Kluyveromyces lactis: one gene and its partners. The protein of the gene in region 1 interacts with the protein of each later gene in a biochemical or structural test. Links are inferred from orthologs where the notes say so. Each region holds a gene or a part of one and is shown in the gene's direction. Other genes may lie near its edges.

Region 1 (8,567 bases):
ATGTAAATAGAAATACATATTCATAATATTTTACTTTACTTTAATATAAATTGTAATTTAGTTTCAAGGAACTTAAATAACGAATTAAGCACTTGAAGAGTATATTTAATCATTGAATTATTTATTAGCTGATAGTAAGTTAAATTTGAAGTGAATGCAATGCAATATAATTTCCACATGGGTAACAGGTTTCAATGAATTGCAGAAGGTGATTGAGGGAGGTGAACGGGTATCATAAGCCTTCGCATACAAATGTGGCATCGCTGCCTCTTCTAATGCCAGACAGAAGAGGGATTGTGGGTATATCGAATGAATGGGTTTTACCGTCAAACATGCTATCTAGTGCAGGCGTCATTGGAGAATGGGCTTCGTATTCCAGAGTATCCTCAGAATCTTCAAACGCAGAATTGCTACTATCCTTGGTTGTTTCATCTGAACTGGAGTAGACCATAGTAGCTGGAGGTTCTGATTTCGTTTCGGTCGACACGGATTCGAGTAGACGTAATGGGTTCCTTGGTGGAGGTAAAACCATTGGCATGTCAACAACCGAGTACGATCTTAGCTCTTGATCTTGCAAGGATATGAAATGAGAGTCTGCTAAGCCGACGAAATGACTCCCTAGATGTTTCTTGTTTCCGATTCTTTCCAGATCTGGAGATTGAATAATGTTACCGTTTTGCACACAGTCCGCTGGTAATCCAAAGCTCTGGATACCATGAGATGGTCTGCAACACATTACTTGGTCGGTGAATTTCAAATCTTTGATATCCCAGGACATTATTAAGCCTTGATCGTCTGTACTATATATTTTCTTCATTTCATTATCGTAATCGAGACTGTTGACATGTCCGTTATGACCCAACAGGTGTGCTCTAACCTTCCCATATCTGATATCCCATATCTTCAATGCCTTTCCGACCGAATTAACGACCGTATATTCATCTAACCATTTGGAAGTATAACATTTGCCAGACTCGGCATTGCTGTCCTGAGGTCCAGGGACACGTATTCCGTTACCATCACCCAAACGAAGATCCAACAATGCAATTCCGGACTGCCCAAATTTCGTTCCTGTCAGAGAAAATGTGAATGGATTGACTGGGTTAACATCAACGTGTTCCAAACCGGGGAAACTGTTCAAGTATAATGGGTCTTTGCACTGTTGGTTCACGTCATAGACAAACAACGAATCGTTAATGACAGAGGTGAAATGATGCTTGTTCCAGGTCTTCAAATGACGAATTGGTTTTGAACGACTTGTGTTATAAATTTGCGTAGCAAGATCAACACTATCCATGCTATCGGTGATCACTTTCAAATGTTTGGAATGATTGAAACGTCTTAGAATTTTGGCGTTCCCATTCTCGATTGAAGTTGCAATTAAGTTCACATATCCATCAGAGTGTCCTGAAAGTAAGATTCTGTCATGGACTTTATCATCGAAGGAAACTACGGTGTCATTATTCTGCGATTGCATGATATCTGTAGCCAGAATAGATTTTCCTGGAACAGTAATGGTTTGTAAACTATGGAGCAATTTCCCACCGCGAGCCTGCTCATTAATTTCATTATTCCGCAATTGGAACAACTGTAAATTATCCGATGTCTGTGATGTGGAAAGTAGAATGGTGTCCCTATCCAATGACATTGAAGTGACGTCCCTAGTGTCTTCTGACAGTTTCCAACAATCTGTCTTCAATTTTTTCGTGACAATGACATCGTTCAAATCACCACTAACCTTCCTTAGCAAGGAACTGTTCAATTTCGAAGCCTCTATCTTGCAATTCCGCCTGACAATAGTACTGTTCTCGTCATCGCTAATATCTCTTCTACTCTTCTTGACGATGATGGCGTTCTGTCTGAATATCTCTGGAGCCCTGTAGAATTCAGTCATAATTTTCGCAATATACAGTTTCTTATTTGACTTTGTGTAATGTTTGCACTGCAGAGAATAATTGATTGTTAACAGGTACATCCATTAGAGGAGTAAGAGCTGGTCACTTTTAGAAACGACATGTTTATATATGATACAGGGCAAATAAAAATAGCACTAGCAAACACTGAGCCAATCAAAAATAGGACCAAACGCAGAACAAGCAACAAAAATTAGAGAAAGGCACGTTACCTATTGAGTGTGTTAGGCAGCCATATGAGCAAACATCCTGTTTATGTTTGCAAGAGGTTTGTTTACCTGTAAACAAACCCAGCATCTTTAAAGCTGGCAAAGGCTTGTTTATATTTATGTCATTTTGGACGATATGATTTTTGTCACGTGATGCCCATAATCGTCCCATATGCACGTCATCTGACAGCAATACGGCAGATTCTTGCAACCTGGTGGCTACCACCGCCATTAATGCCGTTTCCGAATTTACTGACATACTCGGCGTAGCCTGGTATCCCTCTTTAGTACTCTTTTTCCAGGTTTCAATCTCCTCACGTGACAAGTAAAGGAGAAAAGAAAATTGTGATTTGCATATTTTAATTAAGGAAACAAAACAAGAACAAAGATACTTTACTTGCAAACAACATCCGATTTAATCATCAGATCAAGGTGCTAGAGGATAAGCAAACGTGCATTGACAGTGGCAAAAAGGACGGTACGGAAAAGGGTATTGAGCAAGGTATTGATCTGATTTTTCTTTGCTTCTTTTTAGAGGAATCATCAACTTTTTTTCTGGTTCTGTTTCCTGTTCTGTTTCTTTGCAATTACGACAATTAAAGAAGACAAAAGACAAAAAATAAAACCTTATAGGCTTTCTCGGGCGGTTTTATTTGTTTAATAATTATTGCTGTTACTACCACTTATCAGATATCTAGTGTTTGAAGACTTTTCAATTTGTTATTGAGATTCCACTTTGAAGGAGAAATTATCGGATTTGAAATTGACAAACCATTAAAAAAATAAAAAGCTGCGAAATATGTCTATCTCTGTGAAACTAGTGGCTGCTGAGTCATTGAACAGGAGGGATGTGTTTAGATCTCCTGATCCGTTTGCAGTTTTGACTATCGATGGTTCTCAGACGAAATCCACAGCGGCTGCAAAGAAGACGTTGAATCCCTACTGGAATGAAGTATTTCAATTCAAAAATGTGAGTGAAAATTCGATCTTAACTGTTCAAGTGTTTGATCAGAAAAAGTTCAAGAAGAAAGATCAAGGGTTCCTAGGTGTTGTCAACGTTCGTATTGGTGACATTCTGGGTCACTTGGACGAAGATACTGCCACTTCGAACGGTAGAGCTCGTGAAGAGACTATTACTAGAGATTTAAAACGTTCTAACGACGGGTTGTCAGTAAGTGGTAGAATAATATTGGTTTTGACGGTTCTCCCCAGAGCTGGCAGCCGTAATGGAGCTGCTGGTGCCGCAGGTAGTGCTGTTGCTGGTTCCGGAGCAGCTCGTCAATCGGATTCGATGACGAACGCTTCCACTATCGACAACAGATTGATTGCTCAGACTGTTGCTAACAACTTGCAAACTACTACATTAGACAACCAGGATTCTGCGAATGCTGCAGGTACCGCCAGTTCAGGTTCAGGTGCCGGTTCAAGTGATGCTGCTCCATCCGGTCAACCTTCGACAGCTCAATCTCAATCGTCAGCTAGCAGGCAATACTCATCGTTTGAAGATCAATATGGTCGTTTACCCCCAGGATGGGAAAGAAGAACGGATAACTTTGGAAGAACATATTATGTGGATCATAATACAAGGACAACAACATGGAAAAGACCCACTTTGGATCAATCCGAGGTTCAACGTGTCAACACCGAACTAGAACGTAGACAACACAGAGGAAGAACTTTACCTGATGGTGGTGCTCAATCAGAGGGCTCGTCTTCATCAAACGTTGCTGTTCATACCGGTACTGGATCTCAAACTCCTGCCGTAAACGGTTCAGCAGCTGCTACTTTTGCTGCCACTGGGGGTACCACATCGGGGTTGGGTGAACTTCCACCAGGTTGGGAACAACGGTTCACTCCTGAAGGAAGAGCGTACTTCGTTGATCACAACACAAGAACCACGACATGGGTCGATCCAAGAAGACAACAATATATTAGAACCTATGGGCCTTCCACAAATACCATACAACAACAACCTGTATCTCAGTTAGGACCTTTGCCTTCTGGTTGGGAGATGAGATTGACAAACACAGCCCGTGTATACTTCGTTGACCATAACACTAAGACCACCACTTGGGATGATCCTAGATTACCTTCTTCCTTGGATCAAAACGTTCCACAGTATAAGCGTGACTTCAGACGTAAGGTTATTTACTTCAGATCCCAACCGGCTTTAAGAATTCTACCAGGTCAATGTCACATCAGAGTACGCAGAAAGAATATCTTCGAAGATTCTTACCAAGAAATAATGAGACAAACGCCAGAAGACTTAAAGAAGAGACTAATGATCAAATTTGACGGTGAAGAAGGTTTAGATTATGGTGGTGTTTCAAGAGAATTCTTCTTTTTACTATCACACGAGATGTTTAATCCCTTCTACTGTCTATTTGAATATTCTGCCCATGATAACTATACTATCCAAATCAATCCAAACAGTGGTATCAACCCTGAGCATTTGAACTACTTCAAGTTCATTGGTAGAGTCGTCGGTTTAGGTGTATTCCATAGAAGGTTCTTGGATGCATTCTTCGTTGGTGCTCTATATAAGATGATGCTAAGAAAGAAGGTAGTATTACAAGATATGGAAGGTGTCGATTCAGAAGTCTACAACTCCTTGAAATGGATTTTAGAAAATAGCATAGATGGCATTTTAGATCTAACATTTAATGTTGATGATGAAAGATTTGGTGAACTGGTTGTCGTCGATTTGAAACCAAACGGCAGAGAAATCGAAGTCACAGATGAAAACAAGAAAGAATATGTTGAACTATATACCCAATGGAGGATCGCAGACAGAGTTCAAGAACAATTTAAGGCATTTATGGATGGATTTAACGAATTGGTTCCTGAAGATCTAGTCAACGTGTTTGATGAACGTGAACTTGAATTATTGATTGGTGGTATTGCAGAAATTGATGTTGAAGACTGGAAAAAACACACAGATTATCGTGGATACCAAGAGTCTGACGAAGTTATCCAGTGGTTCTGGAAATGTATCACTGAATGGGACAACGAGCAAAGAGCACGTTTGTTACAATTCACAACTGGTACATCGCGTATCCCGGTCAATGGATTCAAAGATTTGCAAGGTTCTGATGGTCCAAGAAGATTCACTATCGAAAAAGCAGGTGAAGTTCAACAACTACCCAAGTCACACACTTGTTTCAACAGAGTGGATCTTCCACCATACACTGATTATGAATCTTTCAAGCAGAAGCTAACATTAGCAGTGGAAGAAACCATCGGATTTGGACAAGAGTAGTTGAATGAATCTTTCAATCTTTTCAATACCCTGCACCTTCTCAATTATTCAATCAGAAAGCGCAAGCACAAACACAAGCACAGACATATATATGTTATAGATATATTGTTGCCAAAACATGTGTATATTATTACATAGAAATTTTTTTCTTAACCTCGTTAGGCCTCAACTTATGGTGCTTTGTTATATTTTATTGCCATTATCAGGTGTTACTTTATATAGGTATGCTATAATGTGGGAAGCAATTGACAACGAAGTATCTGGTTCCTAACCGACGGAGTTTTGTAATTGCCCAGAGATTGATATATCCAGCTTAAATTTTGGGATAATAACGAAAATTAGCTGCATGGAGTTGATAGTATTAAGACCGGGTTCTTAAATGAAAAGGGTTAAGTTGTAATTATATATATGATAATTATGATAGAGGACAGGGTAAAGCTTATAATAAAATAATTTAAATGAGTGAATTGAATGAATTTATTGTATATTGTATAATAACGAGCGACAACAATATATTTGAATGCAATAATAATGAAAAAAGATGTTAACCCATAAACGTTTCGGTGGCTTAATGTTGTAGTTTTTTTTTAAAAGTTGTGGCTTAATTGTTACGGATCTTTCATGAATCGGCCTATTTCCTCTCACTATGACCCTTTTTTTGACCTGGTATGTAAGTGAAGAGAGTGTAATCACAATCTTTGATTGAATGTAAAGATTGATTCTACACCGAAAGATCCCACAATTAATACCTTGGTATTCTATTTTTTTTTCCTTTTTAGTGCAGTTTAAAAATGCTTAATAAAACAACCTGTTACCATTCAGAATGACATTCATAAGTCGTGACCTATTTCCCCTGTGTATAAAATAAATTTTGTATTTCCATAGAATCGACTATCCATCAGATAAAGACAAAAAAAATGAAAAATCTAAAGGAAAAGTAAGATTGATGGTAGAATCAAAAACTTGTAACAAATATTTCATCATGAATTCGGAAATGTTTTAAACAATTTGATGACTGCATGCATCCTTCTCGCTTCTTTCTTCTGTGGTATTTTTTTTTTAGTTTATAATTGTGTTTTACGCTGTTGCGACTTTTACTAGTTTTTACAAGGTTCCTCTCCTTTAATTGAAATATGTGGAATTGTCACCAAACATTGGAAAGCTGACATTTCTGTTATGCTGCATTATATTGGAGGAGGAGCGTGGGGGCATCCCGTTTGGAGGGGTATTCGATTGTGAATCCGACATTGGAACCATATTAGATCCATTGAGAATTCCCGGTAAAGATACAAATGATGATTGGGACATATTGGAAGTCAACCCTGGTTGACTTGGAGTTGGGAACCCATACATCATAGAGCTATTTGATTGTGGTGTTGGGTATTGTGAGTCCATGTACATCGGAGCTGGCATGTTAGCAACATTATTTGAGGAGAAATGCAAATTGGAGTTCATTAATAATGGTTGCTGCATGCTTTGATTGTTCAAATACTGATCAAGATGAGGTTGTTGATGTTCCGGTGCCGGTGGTTGCAACTGTTGAAATGGCGGTGGCTGTTGTGTTTGCATTGAATAATCATGTTGAGAAGCCATTGGCATCTGCGGAACATTCTGTTGATAAGGTGGGAGTGTCATCTGTTGTTGAATGCTGTTTTTCTTCTTGTGGTGATGGTTGCTGCTATTATCACCGCCGGTGTTTATATTATTGTGGAAGTTAGTGTTTCTTTGGAATTGATGGTTATTGGTATTATTGTTACCTGGACCATTGTTCCTGTTGTTCAGATATGCATTGGAAGGCAGAGAAAAGTTGCGAGAATGGTGCTTGTTTTGTTGACGGAATGGTTCATTAACCTTTTTCTTTGTTGGAGTTACATCATCAAATGTGATTCCTGTAAGTTCCGTGTATGCTCTTACCTTCAATTTGATCTTCTTCGCGTATGATGTGTTTTTGATACTTGGCAACAGCTCCTTGGTGATTACAATGAGGTTACTGATCTTGGCAGTGAACTCATGACTGAAACTTGCTAGCCGAGGATTATTGTACACAATGTTATTTCTTGGATGTTCTAGAATAGCTGAATAGTTTCTGACGTCCAAAAGAGTTTGCAATGCGTAGTTACCATAGTTGTCTCTTATCAAAGAAGTAATGTTAGCCATGAAGATATCAGCAATTACCAAAAGAATACCCATGGAAGCGTTAACAACATCATCCCCATCATCGACTCTGTCATGTGGATTCAAAGCCGCTGTTGATGTAGATGTAGTTGCTGTGTTGGACACATAATTCATCACAATGGCAAACAACTTCTTTATATATTTCTCAACAACGTTTGAAGAAAACTTTAAACAGGACAACTGGCACAACTTTTGTGACAATTTGTTGAAAGTTTCGCCTAACAGGTAGAAATCCAACTCCTTGATATCGAACAAGAACTGGATAATATAGTTACCGAATTGGTCGTTGATCAAGGAGGGCAAGTACTGAATTATCTTGACAGAAATCTTGAAAATCTGTTGCAGAGTACAAACACTCAACAATTTTTGCAGTACACAACACCCGTGTTTGTGAGTTGAGATGGTAATGATGTTATCGTTATTGACAATGGCGTCAATGATAAAATCAAAATTTGCTGGTTGGAATTTGAAGATACATTTCTGAATGACATGATTACCGTTCAAATCATTAATCAAAGTGACTACCTGTTCAATTGATGTATGCTCCTGAGAAAATCCCCTAATGATCATATCTATATGTTCTTGGGTCTCAACGGTATCAATGATCTTTTGCAAGGATCTGGTACCATATTGATTGATGGAGATTTGGAATACAGAGGGATAGATATCTTTAATCATTGCGGTTTTCTGATCAGTTGTCAAATAATCACATAGCTTTTGAATCAAATAGTTACCGAATGGATCCAAAATTAGATCCAAGAAGAAATTGTTGACATTCTCGAAGATTAAATCTCTCACTTGATCCGATTCTTGAGGAGTTTCCAACTTTCGTTGCAAGAATCTACAACCGTATTGGTCTGTAGACAATTTCACGTAATCCAAGTCCTTCAATCGGATATTATGCAAATCGTTCATGGAAGTCACTGCAGAAGTTGTCGCAGTAGATGATGACGCTGATGAAGACGATGCTGATGATGCGTTCGATCCAGTATTACCACCACTTGACGACAC
Region 2 (5,238 bases), on another chromosome or scaffold:
TTCTAGATTAATAACATATGATACAAGTTTGAACCACTCACTATAAGTGAATATGGTGGCTCCCAATAACCCAAATTCTTCATTATTGTTGAAGTTGAAAACGATGGTTCTTTCTGGTTGGTTTTCCGAGTAATACTGAAGTAACGCAAGAAGTGATACCACACCTTTCCCATCATCTGTGGCACCATATCCAGTTGGCACCGAGTCAAAATGGGCGGATAGTAGAAGGCCAGGTAACTGTGGTGACTTTCCTTCCACTTTAACCAAAATGTTCGAGGACTCGTAGTAAACCAGCCTGGTTTCGGTAGATGAATCGTTGAAAACGTCCAAATGTTGAAAGAGTTTAGAGACACCATTAGCAGAATCATCAGATACCTCAATAAACTTTGACTTTTTCGATATCTGCTCGACTCTTTGCAACAAATAGTCATGTACATTATCATTGAAATGAGAAGTGTAAGGATGAGGTTTCTCGGTAATGACTTGTAAATCATGCCAAGCTGCATCTAACAATGAATTTGATGACTTATCATCTGGTAAGTTTGACTTATATTTATTAGCATCGAACCATGTCAGTATACTAATAACCAAAACAGTAAGCACAAACAAGGTGCTAACGGTGGTCTTCCTAAACTTGAAAGTAGACCGAAAATAATTGGCCATCATTATAGTTGGACCAGGGAAAGAAAGAGCAGCCCTGAACGATCACCCGCTAATTTCTAAGAAATTGTAGGTGCTTGTCAAACACTTATTAATAAAACGAATGGAATAATACCTCTCTTTATCAGTTCTATTGATTTATTGTGACTGAAAACCCTTAAGTCTGTTTTGGTTTTAATTGTACATATTTCGATTATACTCATCTTCTCGAATGATAACTAGATAAAGAAAACGTACATATACACAGAGAAAAGGGCATTGACGAAGCTTTGCAGCCTTTAAAAGTCTCCAATAACAGAGTATTCATTAATCATAGGTATGTGCGTCTTCTACTCTTGTCTATCCTGTAGCTCATCCTTATTCCTTCTCGAGCATGTATTGGCGTCTTATTTGAAGAACTCACGTGCCGAGAAAGAAATTATGTTACCCTGAAAATAGATACTGGAGAGGAAAACATCAAACCCGTGCATGGTGATAACAGATGTGCCATGCAAATTTCCTCGAGACCTTTTGGGGACAATAGTTCATGCATATACGACCTGCATGGACGTTCTTAATAACAACGATTATCTGTACCATTGAAATTTGCTCTTCTACATTCAGGTCTTAGTAGTTTTCTTTTCGGTTAAGAGTGCAGGTTTACTGAAAAGTGAAACCATACAAAGACTCGTCGTCAAGATGCAAGTACAGAATGTTGATCGCTCCAAGTTCGCTCCAATGAAGAATGATTTGATGCTCAGAGCAGCTTTAGGTGAGAAGGTTGAAAGACCACCATGTTGGATTATGAGACAGGCTGGACGTTATTTACCAGAATACCATGAGGTGAAGAATGGTCGTGACTTTTTCGAGACATGTCGTGATGCAGAAATTGCTTCAGAAATTACTATTCAGCCCGTGAGACGTTACGCCGGTTTATTGGATGCAGCTATTATCTTCAGTGATATTCTTGTGATCCCTCAGGCCATGGGTATGAAAGTTGAGATGGTTGAGGGGAAAGGCCCTCATTTCCCGGAACCGTTGAGAACTGAAGAGCAACTACAAAAGGTATTGGATTATAAGGTCAACGTTTTAGACGAACTAGAATGGGCCTTTAAAGCTATCACTATGACTCGTACTAAATTGGACGGCCAAGTGCCTTTGTTAGGTTTCTGTGGTGCTCCATGGACGTTATTGGTTTATATGACCGAGGGTGGTGGATCGCGTTTATTCAGATTCGCTAAGCAATGGTTAAACGAATCGCCAGAATCATCGCATAAATTATTACAGAAGATTACTGACGTTGCGGTCGAATTCTTGTGCCAACAGGTAGTTGCTGGTTGTCAGATGCTTCAAGTGTTTGAAAGTTGGGGTGGCGAGTTAGGCTCTCGTGATTTCGACGAGTTCTCTTTACCGTACCTAAAGCAAATTGCGGAAAGAGTTCCACCAAGGTTAAAGCAGCTGGGTATCGAAGAACGTGTTCCAATGGTAGTATTCGCCAAGGGATCATGGTACGCACTAGACAAACTATGTGACAGTGGCTATAATGCAGTTTCTTTAGATTGGTCATGGGACCCTGCAGAGGCAGTAAAGATCAACAGTGACCGTGTTACCTTACAGGGTAATTTGGACCCTGGTGTAATTTACGGTTCGGATGAGATTATTACCAAGAGAGTCACTGAAATGGTTCATGGTTTCGGCGGAGGTAAGCAACATTACATTGTAAACTTTGGACATGGTACCCATCCATTCATGGATCCAGAGAAGATCAAATTCTTTTTGCAGGAATGTCACAGAGTCGGTAGTCAATAAATCTATCAAAAATCGGAAATAGACTACTACCTTTCTGCATCCAATTTATTTCATGTATATACCATTTCATTCTGTTTAATACATACTGATGTCAGTAAATCCATTTTTTTACCCTGCTTAGTTGATCAAGTCTGGTCATGTATGGTTTTTTACTTCAATGTACTTTATTTATAGTGAAACCTTGATATTTCAAAGTTTGTTACTTCAATAAATCTTCTTCATTCATGAAAACTTGCCATCACACAGTGAAACGTTTTAAAAGAGGTGTTAAAGAGCTCAAAGAAGTGTGGATTCCCTGAACTGATGTCCGACAGAATACAAAAGAATGACTTGTACGTCTATGATTTGTCTGATGAGATCCTTTCTTCTTTGCAGTTGATATCTTTCGACTCTGATATGAATGAGGTTAAAGTGGTCCATTCTGATGTAGAAATCGAAAACAAAAAGGAAATTGAGGTTAAAACAGTACCTTCATGTGCTTCATGTGGTATTAATGCATTTCCTAATGATAATTCTGATCCTCGATATCATTTTAAAACTGATTTACACAAATTCAACATAAAAAGAAGAGTTTACGGTTTATCTCCAGTCGATGAGCAAGAGTTTAGGCAGTTGATTAAAAGTAAAGAAACAGCCACTGCAGAAGATTCTGACAGTGATTCTTTATCTGGTGAGGATGATGAGACAGATGAAATAGAAGAAGATGATATTTCTACAAGAGGAGGAGAGCAGTTGACAGCAATTCTCGAGCATGAACTCCAGGATTTGATGATCAATGACAACCAAACGGGACCCGTTTCTCATTTAAACACACAATCTCCTTTAATATTCATGCATTCTGCTGAATTATCGGGACCAAGAATTTTCGGGGCTTATAAAGTACTATTTAATGCAGAGGAATTGAAATGCCCATTGAAATCAATTCATCATTGGAAAAATCAGGATAAAACCGAGCATTTCTCTGTGTTGTTCATGATTGGCGGCGGTCATTTTGCAGGAGCAGTGGTATCGCATCAAAAGATACCAACTAATGGTAATAACAAAAATAAATATATCCTATCTCTACAAGAGCAGTCAGTACAGTTTTTGGAACAGAAAACGTTCCATCGATACACTACCAGAAGAAAGCAAGGTGGCTCCCAATCAGCAAATGACAATGCCAAGGGAAAGGCAAATTCCGCTGGTTCAACTCTACGTAGATATAATGAAGCAGCGTTGAAAGCAGACATACAAGCATTGTTAAAGGATTGGGAACCCTACATTGCAAAGTGTGACAATATTTTCATTAGAGCCAATAGTGTCACAGATAGAAAGATCTTCTTAGATAATACTTGCATCTCTAAAACTGATGTCAAACTAAAGTCTTTCCCATTCACTACGATGCGCCCATCCTCAAATGAACTAAGGCGTGCCTGGGTTCAATTGACGTATTTATCGATAACGGACAAACCTCAACCAAAAGTCAAAAAATTGCAAACTGATCATTCAAAGAACAAACCTAGGAAACTTACAAATTCTCCAACACCAGTGCCTCTGAAGACAGAAGATGAACAACATACCGAAAAGCTAATCTCATTTATTCAAAAGAGTAAGGCGCCGCTGTTAATATCGTATATCAAGAAAAACAATCTTGATGTCAATATTACTTTGCAACCCTCTTCTGAATATCATCACACACCAACAATGCTACATTATGCATCATCTCACGGCTTGAAACACATGGTATTGGTGTTGTTGTCCACTTTAAAAGCAGATCCTACAATTACTAACAATGTTGGAAAAACAGCGTGGGATCTGGCGAGTGACACCATGGTCAAGGAAACCTTCCAGTTGGCGCGTTATAATTTAGGAGAAAGCTTCACGGATTGGGAGCAAAGTCATGTTAGTGGAGCATTATCGGCTGAACAGATAGATGAAAGGCACAAGAAGATAGCACTCGAAGAAGAGAAAGAAAAGAAAGACTTGATAGAAAAAGAATTGCAGGCGGCAAAGGAAAGAATCAAAGAGGAAAAAGATGCTAAAAGAGGTCCCGGAATGAAACTTGGCGCCGCATCCTCTAACGTTCAAATAAATTTGAACTCTTTAACTGATGATCAACGGATGAGATTGATGAGAGAGCAGCGAGCTCGTGCAGCTGAAGCGAGAATGAAAAGATTTTCTGGTAACTAGATGCAAGTATAAATAGTAACATATATAACTTTTACACGGAGTCTTTTACCAAAGCATAAGTGATGTACTGTCGTGCATCATCAAAGACGTTATTCATAGCTTCGTCAATTAAGTCATTAGTCTTTTGTGGATCAATATGTTTGTATCCCAATAGGCATTTTCTCATGATTTCTGACTTTGTTCCATTTCGAAGTATCTCCTCCTTCTCTATAATTTTTTGGGCTTCTAGAGCATTGATCCAAATTGAAGCAGGAGGATTGTTTGATGGAGTCGCAGCAGCCTGGTATTCTGGCTGGGCGTTGGCTTCATCAGTACCCGTTATCTCTTCTTCTTCAAGCACTTCTACTTCACCAGAACAATTACAAATTAAGTCGTGGGTATTGGATAAAGTGGACAAATTAATGGTAAACAAGTCCTTCAACTCTTCCTGCTGAAAAAGATCATCATCATTTTTTGATTGATCTGTGGCACTGTCCAAGAACTTTTTAGAAAGCGCTATTTTCATTAACTGTCTTTGAAGTATCTTCTCATCAATACATCCGGTTGTCACAAGTCTATAAATGAAACATGGCCTTCTCTGACCATCGCGATGAATTCTTGACATGGCCTGTAAATCAATGG
Region 3 (4,665 bases), on another chromosome or scaffold:
GAACCATTGGTCCAAACTGTGTATGCGAGAATGAGTAAGACTGAATGCTAGCGAGGACGCTAAGGGAAGTTCTTTTTTTTTTTCCGGAATATCAGATGTTTACCTGCTGACTGGTAAGATAACAGTGGATTACTCTTTCACAACAAAAAAAAAAAAAAAAAGAAAACCGTGGTGTTTGTGTATGGTAAGACTTCTTGACCAACAAAAAAACATCACGTGGGAAATCATTACACGTGACTATTAATCACCCGGAGCACTAATTGGATTTCTCGCCCACTTTAATATCACCACAGAATTGGGGGGAAACAGTCTTTCGATCTTAGGCATGGTCACGTGGGAGTTCGTTCTGAAGTCCCCGGCATCCGTTCTTCGATTTGGTTAAACGATTTTAAATGCACTTCTAAACATCACCAGCCCTTTCACGGTCCAGGGTTTCCTGGATAGTTCCATCCCTCAATTTAGCCTTCTCTTTCCACGTAGAAATCACAGATTCCAGCATCTCTTTGGTGTTACCTTTCACTCTCTCTATCTCATTCAGGGCCTCTTGCAGTTTCTCTTCCTGGCGAGTTATTAACGCACTTCGAATCTTCTCTCGTTGCTTTTCAGTAATATGCTGCCCGTTTTTGGAACCATCTTCGCCGGTACTCATCACTGTTTCTCTATTAGTCACTTCGGCGGATAAAATCTCAAGTGCTTGATCTTCATTATTTCACCTGTTTGTTTACTTATATAAAGATCCGAAACCTTAACTTTTGGTTTTGACAGAGAGTTTGCGAAGTTTCTGCCATAATACGGAGAACGACAGAAGGCCCTGCAGATTGATCTGCGTGAAGGGGAAGAAAAAGAGAGATTGGATTTTTATTACCCGGATTTATTAATCTAGTGGGTAATTTGGTTCAAAGTAAAGTTAGGTTAATATTTAATATAGAGAAAAGAAGTAGTTCCTAGCTACAGTTGCCACCAGGGAAAAGAAGGTTAACTAATGGATAATTAAGTTGCTGAACCCATTCTATATCAATTAAGATTGCGTACCGCTATTCTATTTTAAAGCGAGATAATTTTTTGTAGTCTTTGATTGAATTATTCTCTTATTTGGAATCATTTTAGAACAGATATATTAAGGAAAGAGAGATGGTTTTAGAAGCTACTGTATTGGTTGTTGATAACTCGGAATATGCCAGGAACGGTGACTTTCCAAGAACTCGATTTGTGGCACAAGTTGATGCCGTTGAGTATATTTTCCAGGCGAAAAGAAACAGTAATCCAGAGAACACTATAGGGTTGGTATCTGCTGCCGAGGCAAACCCAAAAGTTTTATCCACATTCACAAACGAATTCGGTAAGATCTTGAGCGGACTACATGATATCAATATTGGAGGGTCCATCCATTTTGCCACTGCCATACAGATTGCTGCATTGACTTTGAAACATAGACAAAATAGAGTACAGCGTCAAAGGATTATTATATTCGTTTGTAGTCCAATCACTGAGGATAGACAGGATTTGATTAAGATGGCAAAGAAGTTGAAGAAAAATAGCATTGCGGTTGATGTTATCAATTTCGGTGAAACTGATACGAACGCTGACCTATTGGAGGAATTCGTAGAAACGGTCAACAGTGGGCAAGAGGATAGTAAATCTACTCTTTTGAACATTGATGCAGGCCCCAAACTACTCTACGAGCATGTAGCAGCATCGCCTATTGTACTTGAAGGTCCTGCTGCTGAGGCTGGCTTCTCAATGGGAGGTAATGACGATTTTATGGACTTTGGTGTTGATCCATCCCTAGATCCTGAATTGGCAATGGCATTGCGCTTATCTATGCAAGAAGAACAGGAAAGACAGGAACGCATAAGACAAAACTCGACAGAGTAAGTCATTCCTTTAAACTTCCGCATTCTTAACAACCTCCGTCTCATATAGGTATCTATTCTGTATACTAATGACCCAGTAAATCGTCATAACATGGCCCTTTAACAACTCAACTTCTTAATATTGTACCCTCTCCCAATATCGAGAAAGCCAACTTCAGTTCATGGTTTACTGCAAGTTCTCATGGTATTAACTATTAAGCTTCGAACATGTCCATGTATGAACATTGTCCTATTCACGTGATATATATTTTGTACCCTTTCAACAATAATCTACGAAAAAACCAATAATTTGAAAAATATCAAGATGCAGACAAGACAAAACACATATGGATGAAGAAAACTCATCCACTCAACCTCATTGTACTTTTTTTCTCCAGTTTGCATTGTAGAAGCAGTGAAATTGATCAATTGTCAAGGATCCCTAGTCGTCTTCCTTAAGACATGCCTCCCGGGGAACTTATATTTTCTAACCTAAGGTCAGGATCAAGGCCTGTTCCAAGGGACAGGGATGCCCTGTCATCAGTGCAAAGCGATGCCATCAGCACCAAATCTTCTGCAAGGTATAACTTTCAAGGTACCGGTTCATCTGATGCAACTTCTGGTACGAATGTTACAATTAGAAATAATACTTTGAGTATCGGCGTCAGCTCTCAAATGCAAGGATCTGCGTTCAACGGCCCTCGGATGCAGTTATCGACCAATGGTTTGAAAAATACTCAATCTAAAGCCCTGCAGGCGCAATCACAAGATGGTTGTCAGGATAGTAAGAATATTGCGGATAATGATAGTGACGCAGAAGCGAGAACAGCTAAAAGATCCCTCGAGTTGGAACTTGCTTTTCATGAAGCAAGGTTTTCGAATGAACAAGTTATGGTTGACATATCATCCATTAAGGGTGCCAAAGAAGGTGATCTGGCTGAACTAAAAACTTACAGAACTTCTCCCGGATCCAAAGATAAAAAGTTATATTTCATAGTGAAAGATTTTGATACAGAAACAAGAAGGAGATTGAAGAGTTTCCAAATTTCAGTTTTATCTGGGCAACTACAACAAGTTTTGGACCTACCAATACGATCTAAAGTGTGGGTAAAGTTAAAAGAGAAGAAGCAGCTTGCTGTTGATTTGGTGGAGCTTCATGTTAAAGATAGTTACGTTAACAGAGGCGATATGTGGAAATTTTCTACTCAGCTCCATGATTCGTGTGTCTTTTTAGGGCAACGAGTTGGTTTGATTGAAACGGTAAGGGCAACGGTTAAAGGGATATACATAAATGGAAAGAAGATATTTTCTGGGTATATCGATGAAAATACTAAAATCGTGTTCCGATCTGAATCAGCAAAACTACTGTTCATGATTCAAATAACAGACGAGATGTGGCATTTTGAGGAGAATGGAGAGGAGACTTTCCATAAAGTGGTTAACTCTCTTTTTCCAAAAATATTCCGAAAGTGGAAAAATATAGGCACACATCATTCCATTTCCATAATGTTTTGTGCTTCAATTGACAGATCGGATTCATCATTCAATGATGTCACATCCGGAGAGAGGCTCAAGAACACTGACGATTATTATCGAGCAGTTGTTGACCAGGTTAATATAGTACACTGGGTTGAAATCATGAAAACACTTAGGAAAGAGTTTATAAGAATTGCACAGGATCTCAGAAATGTCAAGCTAAATGAAAACGTTAGTGTGATAAAAGGGTCTCTTCCTTCTGTCATAAAGTCTAATTTGTTGGAGACAATTAATCTGGCAACTACTTTGGTGACCGATCCCTTCAAACAAAATGATCTACGGCACACGACTACACATGCCATCATCGTTACTGCTGGTTCAGGTTTATACGATGTTGACTATGATCTACTAAAAATTACCACTCAAAAATTAATGTCTCTAGAGATTACAATGGACCTCATTTGTCTATCACGTCCACCGCTTCATATAGTTCCGTTGTTACGTTATAGAGACTACAAAGACCAATTACATTATTGCACGCCAACCTGGTTAAGTATATCCTTCTGGAATGATTCTTCCAGAGCTAATGTTGAATGGCGACCCAGATGTAAAATATACAACGTTTTAATGATGGGATTAACTGAAACTGAACTAAAAGAGGAAATTGCCTTACAATCCATAAAAATAAACGACAAATGCAACTCTGTATCAGATTTTATGGAATCTTACGATTCTGCTGCTTTCGAAGTTCAGAGTGGCCCTTACTCAATGCATATGGATGCTGCTCTTGCTGCGGAGTTCCGCTCTTCTAAAGAGAGTAAGAATGATTGGAATAGACGTACAGTATCGAAGTCCAAGGGGAATACTAACCACATTGATACTATCACATGGATGAAACCAAAATCCACTAATGCTGTCCTTCAACCAGCTTTCAAAGAGAAGGTGTTCGCTCAGCTATCTTCATCTCCGAACTCTAATTTACCACGAACTGAATTTGAATACAAGAACCAAATGACGGCGACGAATTCTTTGGCATTAAATACTTTAAAAAGATTAAGTCATGCAAATTCCGGTGTGACACAGAAGATAATCTCTAAACTATTCCCAGATTTGGCGATTAAAAAGAGTCAATCGTCCCTCCGCCAAAAAGCTAATATACAACCTACTGATTTGACTGGTTCTTCATCATCTTTGAGTGATACAGGATCTCAGTATAAAAGGTCCCCAAATCCAAAGCTTTTGCACAAGCAGAAACAATTGTTCGATGATAACAAAAAAGAAGCTTCATGCGGAACATCTATACTGAGTTCACAGTCTTCTGGTAACCAAAGAGTAC

Evidence for each region.
Region 2: the proteins of RSP5 (region 1) and HEM12 form a complex in vitro, tested with the Saccharomyces cerevisiae proteins (2 studies listed by BioGRID, with this or other methods). The link is inferred for Kluyveromyces lactis from reciprocal best matches to the Saccharomyces cerevisiae genes RSP5 and HEM12.
Region 3: of the proteins of RSP5 (region 1) and RPN10, one has a biochemical effect on the other in vitro, tested with the Saccharomyces cerevisiae proteins (4 studies listed by BioGRID). The link is inferred for Kluyveromyces lactis from reciprocal best matches to the Saccharomyces cerevisiae genes RSP5 and RPN10.

Annotation. Positions count from the first base shown.
Region 1 is NC_006041.1:1,195,212-1,203,778, forward strand, and holds RSP5 (NEDD4 family E3 ubiquitin-protein ligase), read left to right. Parts: upstream 1-2,921; coding exon 2,922-5,381; downstream 5,382-8,567. Other genes in the region: DSE1 (Dse1p), read right to left, coding at 233-1,975; MPT5 (Mpt5p), read right to left, coding at 6,504-8,567. UniProt on the Saccharomyces cerevisiae protein: E3 ubiquitin-protein ligase which accepts ubiquitin from an E2 ubiquitin-conjugating enzyme in the form of a thioester and then directly transfers the ubiquitin to targeted substrates.
Region 2 is NC_006042.1:1,085,051-1,090,288, forward strand, and holds HEM12 (uroporphyrinogen decarboxylase HEM12), read left to right. Parts: upstream 1-1,338; coding exon 1,339-2,448; downstream 2,449-5,238. Other genes in the region: PFF1 (Pff1p), read right to left, coding at 1-666; VMS1 (Vms1p), read left to right, coding at 2,752-4,617; DNA-dependent ATPase RDH54, read right to left, coding at 4,649-5,238.
Region 3 is NC_006038.1:354,522-359,186, reverse strand, and holds RPN10 (proteasome regulatory particle base subunit RPN10), read left to right. Parts: upstream 1-1,131; coding exon 1,132-1,875; downstream 1,876-4,665. Other genes in the region: KLLA0_B03927g (uncharacterized protein), read right to left, coding at 401-649; GTPase-activating protein IML1, read left to right, coding at 2,316-4,665. UniProt on the Saccharomyces cerevisiae protein: Multiubiquitin binding protein.